2 linked regions of the Ovis aries genome follow. The protein of the gene in region 2 interacts with the protein of the main gene of each other region in a pairwise test. Links are inferred from orthologs where the notes say so. Each region holds a gene or a part of one and is shown on either strand. Other genes may lie near its edges.

Region 1 (7,209 bases), on a different chromosome or scaffold from region 2:
CAGGTCATCCTGCCAGGGGCAGGGCTTTGTGGAGGGCCAGGGCCCGAGGCACCGGGCTGGATGTGGAGCTGGGCAGAGGCACAAGGCTCCAAGTCTCTGGTGCCCTGGACTTTGCACCTGTGGTTGCTGCCCAGCAGGCACTGAGCTGCTCCTCCACCCCCCAACCCCAACCCCACTCCTGACCAGGAAGGACTTGCGCCGTTCTCTACAGGAAGGGGGTGGCCTCCAGGGCAGACTCCCTCCACCTGCCTGCACTGGGTTCTGCTAGTTAGCGCTTTCCTTTCCCCTTGATTCCCGTCTCCATCACCTGCCCAAGGTAGCCCCCCATGTTACGGGGAAGAACCTGCTGGGAGGCCCGGGCTGTCTTGAGCCAAGGACAGGGTACCCCCAGGGCTCGCCCCGCCAGCATTCAGCAGAGCACGAGGCAGCCACTCTTGTCCTCGAAGACACACAGGGGAGGGGGGACCACCCCCCCTCCCCCTCAGCTGCTCAGCTCTGTGGCTTATTTCCTGGGACCAAACTCCAGGTGGCAGGTGGCTGGGGATTTCCATTGTGGCTGTAGCACATGGCGCCATGGTGCACAGCTGGGCACGTGTCCTTCTGCACACGGCCAACGGGTTCTGTCCACTTTGAGGACATGGAGCCAATCACTGGGTCTTGGGGCCAAGGTCAGTCCTGCCTCCACGGCCAAGCCTGGACACATGGCTCCCCCTGGAGGGTTCCCCTCAGGACCCAGCAGTTGGGAGGAGAAACTGGGTGTGAGGAACCAATCTGTGCAGCCATCAGGCCTCCTCACCTGTAAGCAGGTGACAGCAGCCCCTTCTCCCCGGGGGCAGCCGGATCCAGAGACCCCAGAGGCTGAGAGTATGCAGGAGAGCAAGCGTCTGGAGGCATGAGCTGCCCCCATGGAAAGCGTGTAAGCCTGGTTCCCCCAGGGAGTGCGCTGGGCTGGCCTGCCCTTGGCTGGGGAAATGCCTCACGCTGAAAGGCCGCCCCGGTCCCAGCCCTGAGCTTCCACAGAATCATCGTCCTGCCTGGCTGTACTCTGCATCCCCACAGACTTGGCTGCTCGCCTACCCTTTCTGGGAAAAGAATGCTCTGAGGCCTCTTGGGGCTCCTGTATGGGTCGGGGGCTCTTATGTATGTTCCTGGGAAGAGCTGGCCCTCAGATATTCCACTTGTCCCCGCCGAGCGCCTGCACTGGGCTGCGCCAAGTGGTCCAGGCACTGCTGATGTCATTCAGGAGGACTGGGGGCTTCAAGGAGGCTGTAAGCGAGGCCTGTTGAGGGCTGCAGTTAGCCAGACATGAACAGGAGGAAACAGCGTGTGCAAAATGCGGGAGGCCAGAAGCCCACTGCGTGTGTTCCAGAATGTTCCATCTGGAAGGCACATCGAATGCTGAGAGAGGGCAGCCAGAGTGGGGCTGGATCTCAGGCCCTCTGGAGCCACACTGAGAGAGTTGGACCTCATCCTTGGCCAACGGGGCCCTGATTGGGATCTAAGCAGGGAGATGTCTTGGTCTGATTTCTAGGGGTGTGGGGGAGGGGTTGGCTTGGGGCAGCAGGGGTGGGGCAGGAGAAGCAATCTGATGGATGAGATCCCGGGCTCCTGCCCAAGGGCAGCAGGAGGGTGGGGTGAGGCCTTGTGCTGGTCACAGGGTGTTTGAGAGTTGGGGGGAGACAGCATCCTGAAAACGTCAAGGTCGGTGTTGCTCAAGAGTCTACAGCTGTACAAGTCCCCTTGTCTCTCGAGCTTCCATTAGCTCCCCTGTAAACTGGCATCACTGGATGCTGCCCCGGCTGGCCCCAAACCTGCCTCCCCACCCTCTCCTGGCCCTCTTCACCCACCACCCAGGGTCTGTGTCCTGCTCACCTGTGTCCCATGGCCAGCTCAGACCCTGCCACGAGACACTTGTGTGAATGACTGAGTCACAGTGCGTGGAGCGGACTCCAGGAGAGCTCGGGGAGACGGGGAGCAGAAGGGGGAGGAGCTGAGCTGTGGCAGCACCTGGCCTGTGAGGCAGCCTCGCGCCTCTCCAGGCTTTGGATGGCATCCCCCACCAGAGGACAGGCTGAGGGCACAGGCTGCTCACGAGGCCCTGCCCTGCCCGCCCTCGTGTGTGAAGGGCTGCCAAGGGTCTGGAGAGAGCCTGCTGGAGGGCGGCCCTCCCACGTCCTGTGCAGAAGGAGGGGCCTCGTACCCTGCGGGGGCGACGCCAGGCACAGGGAGCCTGAGTGGATGGATGCTGCCCGGCTGCCTACACGTTCCTCCCCACGGCTCTGACACGTACCCCCTGTTGCAGGACGGGGACAAATTCTGGCGGATGCCCGAGTGCTACATCCGCGGCAGCACCATCAAGTACCTGCGCATCCCTGACGAGATCATCGACATGGTCAAGGAGGAGGTGGTGGCCAAGGGCCGTGGCCGCGGTGGCCTGCAGCAGCAGAAGCAGCAGAAGGGCCGCGGGATGGGGGGCGCCGGGCGAGGTAGGCCCTTCTCTCCGCCCTCTCCCCTGGCAGGCAGCCGGGGCCTCCCCGCTGGAGCGTGACTGCCGCGCGCGGCATCTGGCCTGGCCCAGTGCTGGCATTCTCCGCTGGTGGCGTCATGTTGCCGAGGGCCTGGCTCTGCGCCCCTCCTCCATGGCACTGGGGGGCTGTGACTCACGGGGCTCTTCTGTGGAACAGTTGGTGCTGCTGGTTGCCACCTGCATGCCCCGTGTCCCCCACCCCAGGAGCCCAGCTAAGCCCTAGTGGTCAGTGCTGGCCGCGCCCATCCTCACAACATGGGCCCTCCTCCCCGCAGTGGCTCTTGGTGCTCCCTCAGCTCCAGATGCCGCCCAGCAGACTAACCCAGCACCCACACAGACCTGGGACTTGAGCCCCACCTGTGTTTCCTGGCAGGTGCTCTGGGCACCTCGGGGAGGCTCAGATTCCCCCCTGCGGAGAAGATCCCCGTGGTGCCCAGCCTGGGACCCTTCCCTGCTGTGACTCCTTTAGACAAAACCAAGGTCACGCCTTTTGGGTAGATCACCCCGCACCACCCTGAAATCATAAATCTTGCATAAAACTAAACGTGCAGTCAGCTAGAGCCGCAGCCCAGAGGCCAGCTGTGGGCCCCACCCTCCCCCACCCGACTTCTGTCTCACCCACCTGGAGGGGCTTGTATGCCAGGTTCCAGGAACCCACCCTGGAGGCTTATATGCAGAGCCAGGAAAGACATAGGAGCCCCCCTGAGCTGAGGCTTGAGTGACAGAAAGGAGCCAGAGAGAAGAGGGCACCGCAGGTGGAGAAGAACCTAGGATGGGGGTGAGCAGGGCCCCAGAGGTCCCAGGACCTGCCCCCAGGGCTAGGCTGCCCACCCAGGGTGCCATCGCTGTCGAGTAAACTGCCTGAAGGAGCAGGGAGGACAGGGAGAGGCGCTTGCATAGGGGCCCCTGCATGACCAGGCTCCCCTTGCCCAAGCTGGGTCTTGCTCCATTAGAGATGAGGCTGGGCAGACCCTGTCAGCCCTGGCCCTGTCCCCTGTATGCGTGTGGAGGAAGGGGGCCCTGGAAGGCCAGGCTGCTGCTTCTGTGACTTCCTGGGCAGGGGCTGCACCCACCCTTGGGCTATTCACCTTCCCCAGCAGCAGTGCTGTGTGCTCCACGTAAAATGCCTTTCGGAAACAGCCCCACCTCTGGCTGCAGAGGTCAGAGCTCAGGAGGCTCCCCCGCCCCTTCTCTGGGCTGGACACACAGAGACCCCACCCCACCCCATTGTTTCAGCAAGGCAGGGTGGGGTCCCCCGGTGCAGCCCCAGTCACAGAGCTGAGCATCGTTGCTCCACCCCTGGGCTGAGTCCAGGCCTCATCCTAGCTTGTACTCCCAGCTCCTCCTGGAAACCCTTCTGATTTTGTCCTGCTGATGACTACCCACCCCCTCACCTTGGCCCTCAGCCCTCTCTTCCAGGAAGCATATCCCCCCCCCCGCCGCCGCCCCCGCAAGCCCCAGTGTGACTTGATGCCAACCTCTGTCCTTCTTGGCATCCTTCGCACCCCTGGGGCGCCTGGTCTGATATCCCTTGTCACACTGAGAATGTTGTGGAGCAATACCCCTGCCCAGCCCTGGTCAGACACTCCATCTCAGATTTTCAACCTGCTCTTCCCACCGACGGTACAGTCACTGCCCCCACTTTACAGAGGTGAAAGCTGAGGCTCAGAGGGGTTCAACGACTTGGCTATAGTCTAAGGGTTCCAGTTCCTGGTCCTTGCCCACAGTGACCCTCCCAGCCTGGCTCTACTGAACCCCCCCTCCTGTCTCACAGGTGTGTTCGGTGGCCGGGGCCGAGGTGGGATCCCTGGGACTGGCAGAGGTCAACCAGAAAAGAAGCCAGGCAGACAGGCGGGCAAACAGTGAGCCGCCCCTCCATTCCCGAGACTGAGCTGCCGCGCCGAGCACCTGCTCCCACCCTGAGGCTGCATTCCTGGTCTCCAGTTTATGACTGTTCAGAACAAAAAGAAGAGGCAGGGGTCGGGGAGGACCCCCTGCCTGTCCTCTGGTGGTCCTCCTCTTTTTTTGTTAGCCAGCAGTTCTATGGTTGGAAATGTTAATTCTGTGCTTCTGGTTTTGTGAAGCCGCAGCCAACTGGATTCCTGGAAGATTCTGTGTTTAATGCATCGTTAAAGCCCTCACTCTTGTTTTAAGGGCAGGCATTTTCCAAACAGGTTTGTTTTGCATTCTGTGTGGTAAACAGACGGGAGGTTTTTATTTTCAGCTGTTTGCACTGAGATTGATAGCCTGGAGGGTCTCCTGAAACACGGACCCTGAAACTGCCTTTTCGAAATGGATCCAGGCAAACGTATGCCTCAGAAGCTGTTCTGGGGGATGATGCTGGGCCCTATTCCGTCCCTTCTTCTCTCCCTCTTTGTCTTAGAAAAATAAAAACAAATACAACTACAAACTGCGAAATCCATAATTCCTTTGAACCACTGGGTGAATCTAGTTGTAGTGTCCTCAGGAAATCACAGCCCCCACGCAAGAAGTTTCCTTTTGCCCCCTGTGGCCTCTCACCAAGGGGAAGCATTTCAATGGGACACTGGTTCCCATGACCCTCAGCAGCCTCTTACAAAAGGTGGAAGGCAAAATGGGGGTCTGGGCAGTAGGGGAGCCCCTTCCCCTCTGTGGGGCGGTGGGGGAGGGAAGTTGTGGGTGGGAGCCAGTGGGACACCCACACTGCCTGTCCTCAGCCTCCATCTCTGTTGTGCAAGCACTGTTCACAGCAGAGCTCCCTGAGAAGCCGTGACATGGAGCTGCCTCCAGGAACACATGAGGAAGGCTTTTCACGAACTGTTTACCTCCTCTTAGGGTCGGGGCACTTGCCTGTCCGCGACTCAGCGATTTGCCTGAGACGCTGAGCCAGCACTTGTGCGGAACACTTCCGGCGATGTGGTCCTTTGACCGATATTCCTGGACAGCCTGGTGTTAAGAGGCTGGTTCCTATGGATGTGAGGTCTACCTGGCCTGAGGTCTACTTGTCACCGATACCATGTTGAGACCGGTTCTGAAGGGTGATTGGAAGAAAAGATGGTGGTGCCTGTAGAGCTCCACTTAGGTCTGCCAAGTACTGGCCTAGCTATGGCAAAGCCTCTCTTAAGTTTTCTCAGTCTCATCCTATCTGGAGAGTGCTGTTCCCTGCCACTTCCTCATCATTGCTTCTCTCCATTTGCACCCCGCCCAGGACCTGCTGCTGCCTGAGTCCTTGTTTTGGCATAGGTTGGGGACAGCGGTGCGGGGTCTGAATGTGACCTGGGCCCTGGGAACCCACCTCCCTCAGAGACGTGGGCGGTGCCAGGCCAGGCTGGTAGGAAGACAAAAAAGAATGGCGGGGAGGGAGGGCCTGTGTTCACCCCATAGCCCTGGACACAGAATCCCATAATGGCCTTTGGGGGCCTTGGTCTGAAGTCTGGGTTTCCCACTTTGCAAGGGCGTGATGTCTGGTGAGGCTTTGATGAAAGCCGGGGGCTCTGCCTCGGGTGTCCTGCACGGCTGTGAACGAGAAACCCTTTAGAAGCCCCGCCCCTTCCTGCCGTTCGCGGTTTGGTTTTTCTTCCTTAGCTCTGGACCAAGAACATGTACAGACGTTCCCAAGGGCCTCTTCGCCGCTCAAGGTCTTGGGTCTCCGACGCGCCCCGTCTCCACACAGGGGCGCATCCCCGGCGGCGTGCGTAATCGCGGCTTCCTGCCCGCGCCGCCAGCCGCCCCTGACCTTTCCAGCCGGGCAGCCCCGGCTCCCGGCCCAGTTCTCTCCGAGCCCGCTGGTGACGTGAGCCGCCTCCCCAGCACTGGCCGCTTAGGTGCCAAGGGGCTTCCGGAAGCCTCCGTCCTCCTGAGCTGGGTGTCAGGACAGCCCGGTTTTCCAGTTCTTCTTCCTGGTTGGTTTCAAGAAACCAGCCTCAACGCCCTGAACAAGAAGAGAAACCAAAAGTGCCGGGCTGGTTCCCACAAGCCGGCCTCCTTCTTTCTGCCCTCCTGATGGTCTGTCTCCGGGGGCTAGCGCCCCCACCATCTGACTGCTGCATGACCCGCAGCCTGCGGGCTACCTTAAGTGTAGGTGGTGAAGTGTAGGTGTTTCCCGCGGGCCGTCCTCCCTTTGGAGTTTGTTCCAGCTGTCAGGCCAGGGAGGCCCACACACCCAGGTGTGACTCAGCCTGGGGCCTGCCTGGATTGCCCTGTTGCTTCAACCTGGGGCCATGAGTCCATTTCAGGGAGCTGGATCCAGTGGGCAGCCGTAAGCAGCAGCCCCCAGGTAGTGGTGGGCAGGAGGGCGACTCTTGCCTTCCTGTCCTGCACACCCCTCAGCACTGACTCCTCCTCCACTGGCCTCACCGGCTGCTCCACCAGCACCTCCCCTGGAAGCCCTGCCCCAGCCTGCTGCCTCCCACTTCCTCAGGCAGGCTTGATGGCAGGTGCCCTCCCCAGCCATTCAGCTGGGCCCTGGGGTCTGCGTGTCCCGGCCTGTGTGTCCCTACCTGCCATCACTGTCTCAGTGTTCTCTGAGAGCCCTCCGTGGACAAGGCTGTTTGGTCTGTGGGAGGTACGGGAGGTGGTCTGATGTCCACTCAGACAGTCTCAATGGGGGCAGCTGTTCGCCATAACGGGAACAGAGGCCTGGCTGGGGGTGGAGAAACTGGGGCCACAACCGCATCCCAGGCACTGGAGACTAAGCTGTGAAT
Region 2 (6,164 bases):
CCATAGAACCGTAATCCTCTATGAAGAATATTGCATTAACAAACAGAAGTATATTTCCGGCACGACGACACAGAATAAAATGTCAGAGGTCTGAATATATTGAGCAAGTGAGTTAACCTTTCACTGTCAGCAGTTCTTCCACCGTAAAACAGGGACGCTGTGATGACATCTACGTTGCAGTCACCGTTAAGATTACATACAACCCACGGACAGGTGCTTTCCAACACTGATGATGATCGGTGATTCAATACCGGGCAATGCTTTAGGGGCAAAGGGCTAAATGCCCAGATCCCTCCCTTTCCTTGGCGTTCCTTCCCAGCGGGAGGGGGCTGCAGCCACATCCCTCCTCGGAGAGAGGCGGCCCCCACGAACCACGCAGGATAAATTGTGAGGACTGGAAAAGCAAAGCCAGGTCACTCCAGCCCAACCTCGTCCCCAAGACGAGAGATTCGCAGCCTGCTACTCAGCAGGTTCAGCGCAGGATGTTTTTCCTGGTAAGAAGATATTTATTACGGCTGAAGCGCAAGAGGAGGGGCAAAGAAAACACAAGCATATACCCCCACCGACGATCCTAGTCTCTTGTCTCTCCAAAGCCGTATTAGGAAAACGCACGAAACCCAATTCATTACGAACTCTTGGGAGCTGTATCAATCCCAATGGCCCTCACCCCCAAAGATTCCCCTATCGGACCCCCCCACTCCACCCTGGGGACCGGTGGCGCAAAGCTCACCTGGTGGCCTCCACCAGCACGACCCGGCTCTGACCAGGCGCCTCCAGACGCGTAGTAGCCATCGCCTCCTCCGCCTTCCCCCGGCCAGGTGGTCTCCGCCGGGCCGCCCCCGCGTCCCCGCCAGGAAATGGGAGGTTGGGGAGGCTCGGGGCGCGGGGGGTAGATGGGCGGAGGCGGGTGCACCGGCACATCTCCACCCCCAGGCCCGTAGTAGCGGCCATAAGACGGGCCGTCACTGGGGCCGTAGCCCGAGCGCCTCAAGGCCGACATGGGCTCTGCCGCCCCCAGGCGCTTCCCGGCCCCCCGCCCCTCACGGCCGGCCCACCGCGCAGGCGCCGACGGGGGAGCGTGAATGGACCACAGGGAAAGGGGGTCGGCCTGCAACAGCCAATGCTAGGCAGGATCCCACCCCCCTTCACTTCCGCGTCCTAAGAGGACGAGGGCGGCTGTCCGTGACTCTGGGGTCTAAGAAGCAGGAGAACGAGCGTTCCTTAAAAGGGAGAACGCACCTCCGCACTGTCCGTGCAGCCTAGACTCCTCTTCCCCTTCTCGTCAGGGATATGTAAAGGATATCCTGGGGCGGGGGAAACCACACGAACTGTCCCGCCTCTTCCTGAGGGCGGGGACGTGGTGCCGGAAGTGGGTGGGGTAACATGGCGGCGTTTCCGGCAGGCCCCGGCTACTGAAAGCCGGGGCGGCGGCGTTTGTCCGGGTCCGGTTCCTGTCCCGGTCCCGCAAAGGCGGCGGCCGCGGTGGGAGGAAGGAGGTGTGGGACGCGCTGGCCCACCGCCGCTATACGCTGCAGCTCTGTCTCGACTCAAAATGAACTATATGCCTGGCACCGCCAGCCTCATCGAGGACATCGACAGTGAGTAGTTCATCTCCTCAGAGTGAAGTCTAGGGTGAAACTCTTCCTCCCAGGAGGGTACCTCTTAAGGAGGAAGCTGATAGAATGAGTCCGGGCCGGGGGCGGTGTGTATTTAGTCCAGTTCTGGACTTCCGGCGTTGGCATCCTCGCAGGATGCGGGAGTCACGGGACACACCGTTTGCCACTTTATCCCCTCCTGCCTGTATCCCGCCTCTCGCAGCTTCCACCGTATCTACCGGGCAAGCTGTAGAATTCATTTCTGCTTTTCAGAGTTGCGGCTGCTGAAGCGCACATGTGAAGGTTACCGTTTCCCCGGTCCATCGTCTCCCACCTGTGGTATTTCGAAGTACCAGGTGGTTACTGGGTGGATGAATGAGAATTCTCAGAAAAAGGGTTCTTGCAGAAACGAAAATAGTAATACAACAGCAGTTGGACTTAATTAGCACTAAACGTAGGGTTTATACTGTGTGGCCGTTTGCAGTCTTTTAACCGTTTGAGAGTATTTAGCTTTTCAGACTAGGTAGTGACTTTTCCAGAAAGACTGAGTCACTTCAAATTTACTTTTTTTCCTCTGTTAGTTTTCTCTTGCTGTTAAGACCTCCCTTATTCCAAGTCACTATCCTGAAGAAGAGCTCGGTTGTATCAGATGTCTTTTGTTTTTCCAAACTCTCATCTGTGAATTACTCCTAAAACAACACTTTTTAAAGTTGTGCCAATTGTGTGATCTGTCTCATTAACTTGTAATTGCTGTGAAACATTTACCACACAGTTCCAAACAAGTTCAGCAATTTTCTGCAGTTACTGTGTATGTAAAGAGTGAATTTGTGATGAAATCCTCTTCCTATTCTCTGAAATCACTCTTCAGATCCAAATTAGTGATTTTGCTACTGAAGGGAATGTAGTGTAGCTTGGATCAAATTCATGTGTGAATAACCACTGTACAGGCCTGTCTGTAACATGTAATGAAATCTTTAATTCTAGTTGTCTTGAGGATGGTGCCCTCACCTCTCTAGTTATGTATCTGAGTTATTTGAGATCCCTAGCACATCCTGCCATTCTAACAAAAATAATTGTTTTTCTCAAGTCTCTAACCCCATTTTGCAGATTCCAAGCTCCTCCTCTACTGAATGGTTTCAAATCATTTCATACGCAGCCTTCAGTGCAACACACACACACACACTTTCCTCCTCTCTCCTCAGTCTTCCTGTATTTTCACCCATCCTGTCATCTCAGTTGGAAGTATTCCTCCCTTTCAGTCTGTGTCTTATTTATTTTTCCTTCCAGCTGCTTCTGGAATCCATTAATACCCTTTTTCTCTCATATTTCTTGCTCCCCTTCATGTATGTTCTTGTCTGTCGTATTTTTTTTCAGTTATATTTCACCATCAAATTCCCATTCCTTTTTTCACATCTGTACCCCCAAACCTCTTAAATCATCTCCCATTTTAACTATTTCCTGGCTACCTGGAGTAGACCACCTCTGTCACCCTACAATCAGATTTTTTTGTCAACACACTACTGAAACTGCAATCTTAAAAGACATCTGTCTAATGCATTCCTTCCCCTTTTTGGCGCTGTGATGCCATCATCATAGGATTCTTCATTTTCTTGATTTTTCCAACACTGGTCCTTGATTTTCTTATCTCTGCAACAGTTATTGTTCCCTAAAATAAATGGACCCCTAGGTTCCATCTTTGGCTGCTGCTTTCTTTAAATCTCTAGGAGAGTTCCTGGACTTTAATAATGATATCACCTCTTTGTGGGCATATCAAAAATTGCTCTTTGGCCTTCCAGTCTTAGATCTCCAGTTGCCAGCTGACGTTTCTGCACAGGTGTCTTGATACCACTTGAGAATCACAACAGCAAAACACCTTTCATGGGATCTTGCTTCTTTCACTCCTAACTTTTGGTACATAGTCCTCCCTGACAAGATGACTCAAAATTCCTGCATCATCTTTAACCCATCTCTTCAGCTTCCCACTCTCTCACACACATATCCACATATACAAACACACTTGGTTGACCGATTCCATCCCTTATAACTGCAGTGTCTTGATCCTCTCAGCCTCTCCCGTCCCATCTCTGCCCTGCTTCAGGTCTCTTCTTCATGTCTTAGACTCTGGTAATAGCCTCAAAACCATTCTCTCTTTTTCAACCAGTTGAATCTTCAGAGTTGTCTTGTTCCCCATGAAGGCACATCCAAACTCAGCCTGCTCCCAGTACTTTTCTGACTTCATCTCCTATTCCCTTCACACCCTCAACTTTTAGCCACACATCCGGATACACAGCTCCCTTTTCTTCTGCCTAAATTACAGATTTCCCCCTTCCAGTCCCTGTCACTCTTCCCATGGCCAAAAATTATCTACCCCTTTTAAGGTCCATTGGAGAAGGCAATGGCAACCCACTCCAGTACTCTTGCCTGGAAAATCCCATGGGCAGAGGAGCCTGGTAGGCTATAGTCCGTGGGGTTGCCAAGAGTCGGACACAACTGAGCAACTTCACTTTCACCTTAAAGTCCAACTCATATCTCCAGCTAGATACAGTTTCTCTCACTCTCATGTAATTAAGATTTGCCCTCTTGTGGTACTTAATTATAGCAAAAAAAAGCCTTTAAATTCCTTCAGGAAAGAATCACTGTCTTGTTGCACTGTTCTGCATCTTGTTGTTCAGTTGCTCAGTGGTGTCCAACTCTTTACAACCCCATGGACTTTAACACACCAGGCTTCCCTGTCTTTCACTGTCTCCCAGAGTTTGCTCAAACTCATGTTCATTGTGTTGATGATGCCATCCAACCGTCTCATCCTCTCTTGCCCCCTTCTCCTGTTGCCCTCAGTCTTTCCCAGCATCAGGGTCTTTTCCATTGAGTCGGCTCTTTGCATCAGGTGGCCAAAGTAGCGGAGCTTCAGCATCAGTCCTTCCAATGAATATTCAGGGTTGATTTCCTTTAGAATTGACTGGTTTGATCTCCTTGCTGCCTAAGGGACCCTTAAGAGTCTTGCATCAGTTCTTTGGTGCTCAGCCTTCTTTATGGTCCACGGTCTGCATGTAGAAAGTACTTTATGCATGGCATTAAAGACGAATAAGTGATTTTCGCTGGCTGTGCTGGGCTTCCCTTGTAGCTCAGTCTGCTAGCTATTCTAGTGACTGGCTTACTGTCATTCCTCAGTGTCGGCTCAGAGTCACCTCTTCAGAGAGGTTTTCCTTAGCCACCTTCTTTTTTTTTTCCTCCCCCTGTGTTTGTTTATTTACTCGGCTATACTGGGTCTTAGTTGCAGCACATGGTATCTTTAGTCGCAGCATGCACACTCTTAGTTGTAGCGTATGAGATCTTGTCCCTGGGCCCCCTACATTGGGAGTGTGGAGTCTTAGCCCCTGGACTACCCGGGAAGTCCCCAGCAAACTCTCTTCTATAGTTTCTTCCCCTCCCTTTCTTATATTATCCTGCTGTCTTATTTTTATTCTGCTAGACTAATCACCATAGGTCATTTTTTAAAATATGTTTGCTTTTCTCCACCAGGCTTATAAGTTCATGAGGTTGGTGACTCTGAGTCTTATTCTCTACTATATATCTAGGCCCCAGAACAGCACATAGCCCTCAATGCATTCTGTTGAATTTTTGCTCTGGTTTTATTCTCAGCATCCTCATTTTACATGTCTTTGGTACTGTTTTTATTTAAAACCATCTCTGATTCCAAAGTGTGAAATAGAAACTCTAAGTTGAGGAGAAAATAATTTTGGAAAATGAAGATCATAAAGACCATCTAGAGCAAATGTCCAGATTGGCAGGTATAGAAACTGACATGATGCTGACAGGGTTTAACTGTCGAGCACTGGCGTCTGGAGCCAGTCCGTTGGGCCCCCTGACTGTGTGCCCAGTCCCTCCCCGCTCTGCTGCCCCTCTTAGATTCTTTTCACCACCCATCTTCTCATCTAAACTAATCCCCAGCTGCCTTGGCCATCCCTCTAGTTTCTCAATGAACTGCGTTAAATGCATTAAATGCTCTATAAGAGGAAATGCTAAAGCTTAATCTGCTATTAACTCTGTTTTTGTTTCCCTGTAAACTCGCTGAAGCTAACGGTTCATTTTTTAAAGATCTCTTTTCCTCTCCCCAGAAAAGCACTTGGTCCTGCTTCGAGATGGAAGGACACTCATAGGATTTTTGAGAAGCATTGATCAATTTGGTATGTATTACTCATGGACTTATCATGAGTCCGTGGTGATAAGAGCCATGGTGGCTTTTATCATCCCACACTCTGGATGATAAGAGCTGCCCACTGTATTTTTATGTTGTTTCGTATTGAAGTTTATTTATCTGCAACTTTTTTCACGTACCTGGCATGATGAAATACTGTTTTAAGTCACTACATCATTGTTTTCTAAATTACAATTAGGTGGTTTGAAAGCTTGTGTTTACAAGCTTATATTTTATTTCTAAAACTGGTTTTCACTATTAGAACATGTCGTTACAATGTTTTGGACTGTTTTTTATTTTCCCCATTAGAGGGAGCCAGATGATAGAAATACACTCAGTCCACTGAAAAGGCTGCTCATTTGTACATTGGCTTG

The links.
Region 1: the proteins of LSM1 (region 2) and LSM4 interact in binary tests that used the Homo sapiens proteins (3 or more experiments, as listed by UniProt). The link is inferred for Ovis aries from reciprocal best matches to the Homo sapiens genes LSM1 and LSM4.

What each region holds. Positions count from the first base shown.
Region 1 is NC_056058.1:4,693,098-4,700,306, forward strand, and holds the end of LSM4 (U6 snRNA-associated Sm-like protein LSm4), read left to right. Parts: intron 1-2,302; coding exon 2,303-2,486; intron 2,487-4,301; coding exon 4,302-4,393; 3' UTR 4,394-4,937; downstream 4,938-7,209. UniProt on the Homo sapiens protein: Plays a role in pre-mRNA splicing as component of the U4/U6-U5 tri-snRNP complex that is involved in spliceosome assembly, and as component of the precatalytic spliceosome (spliceosome B complex).
Region 2 is NC_056079.1:32,439,912-32,446,075, reverse strand, and holds the start of LSM1 (U6 snRNA-associated Sm-like protein LSm1), read left to right. Parts: upstream 1-1,380; 5' UTR 1,381-1,552; coding exon 1,553-1,598; intron 1,599-5,710; coding exon 5,711-5,779; intron 5,780-6,164. Other genes in the region: BAG4 (BAG family molecular chaperone regulator 4), read right to left, coding at 731-1,000. UniProt on the Homo sapiens protein: Plays a role in the degradation of histone mRNAs, the only eukaryotic mRNAs that are not polyadenylated. Probably also part of an LSm subunits-containing complex involved in the general process of mRNA degradation.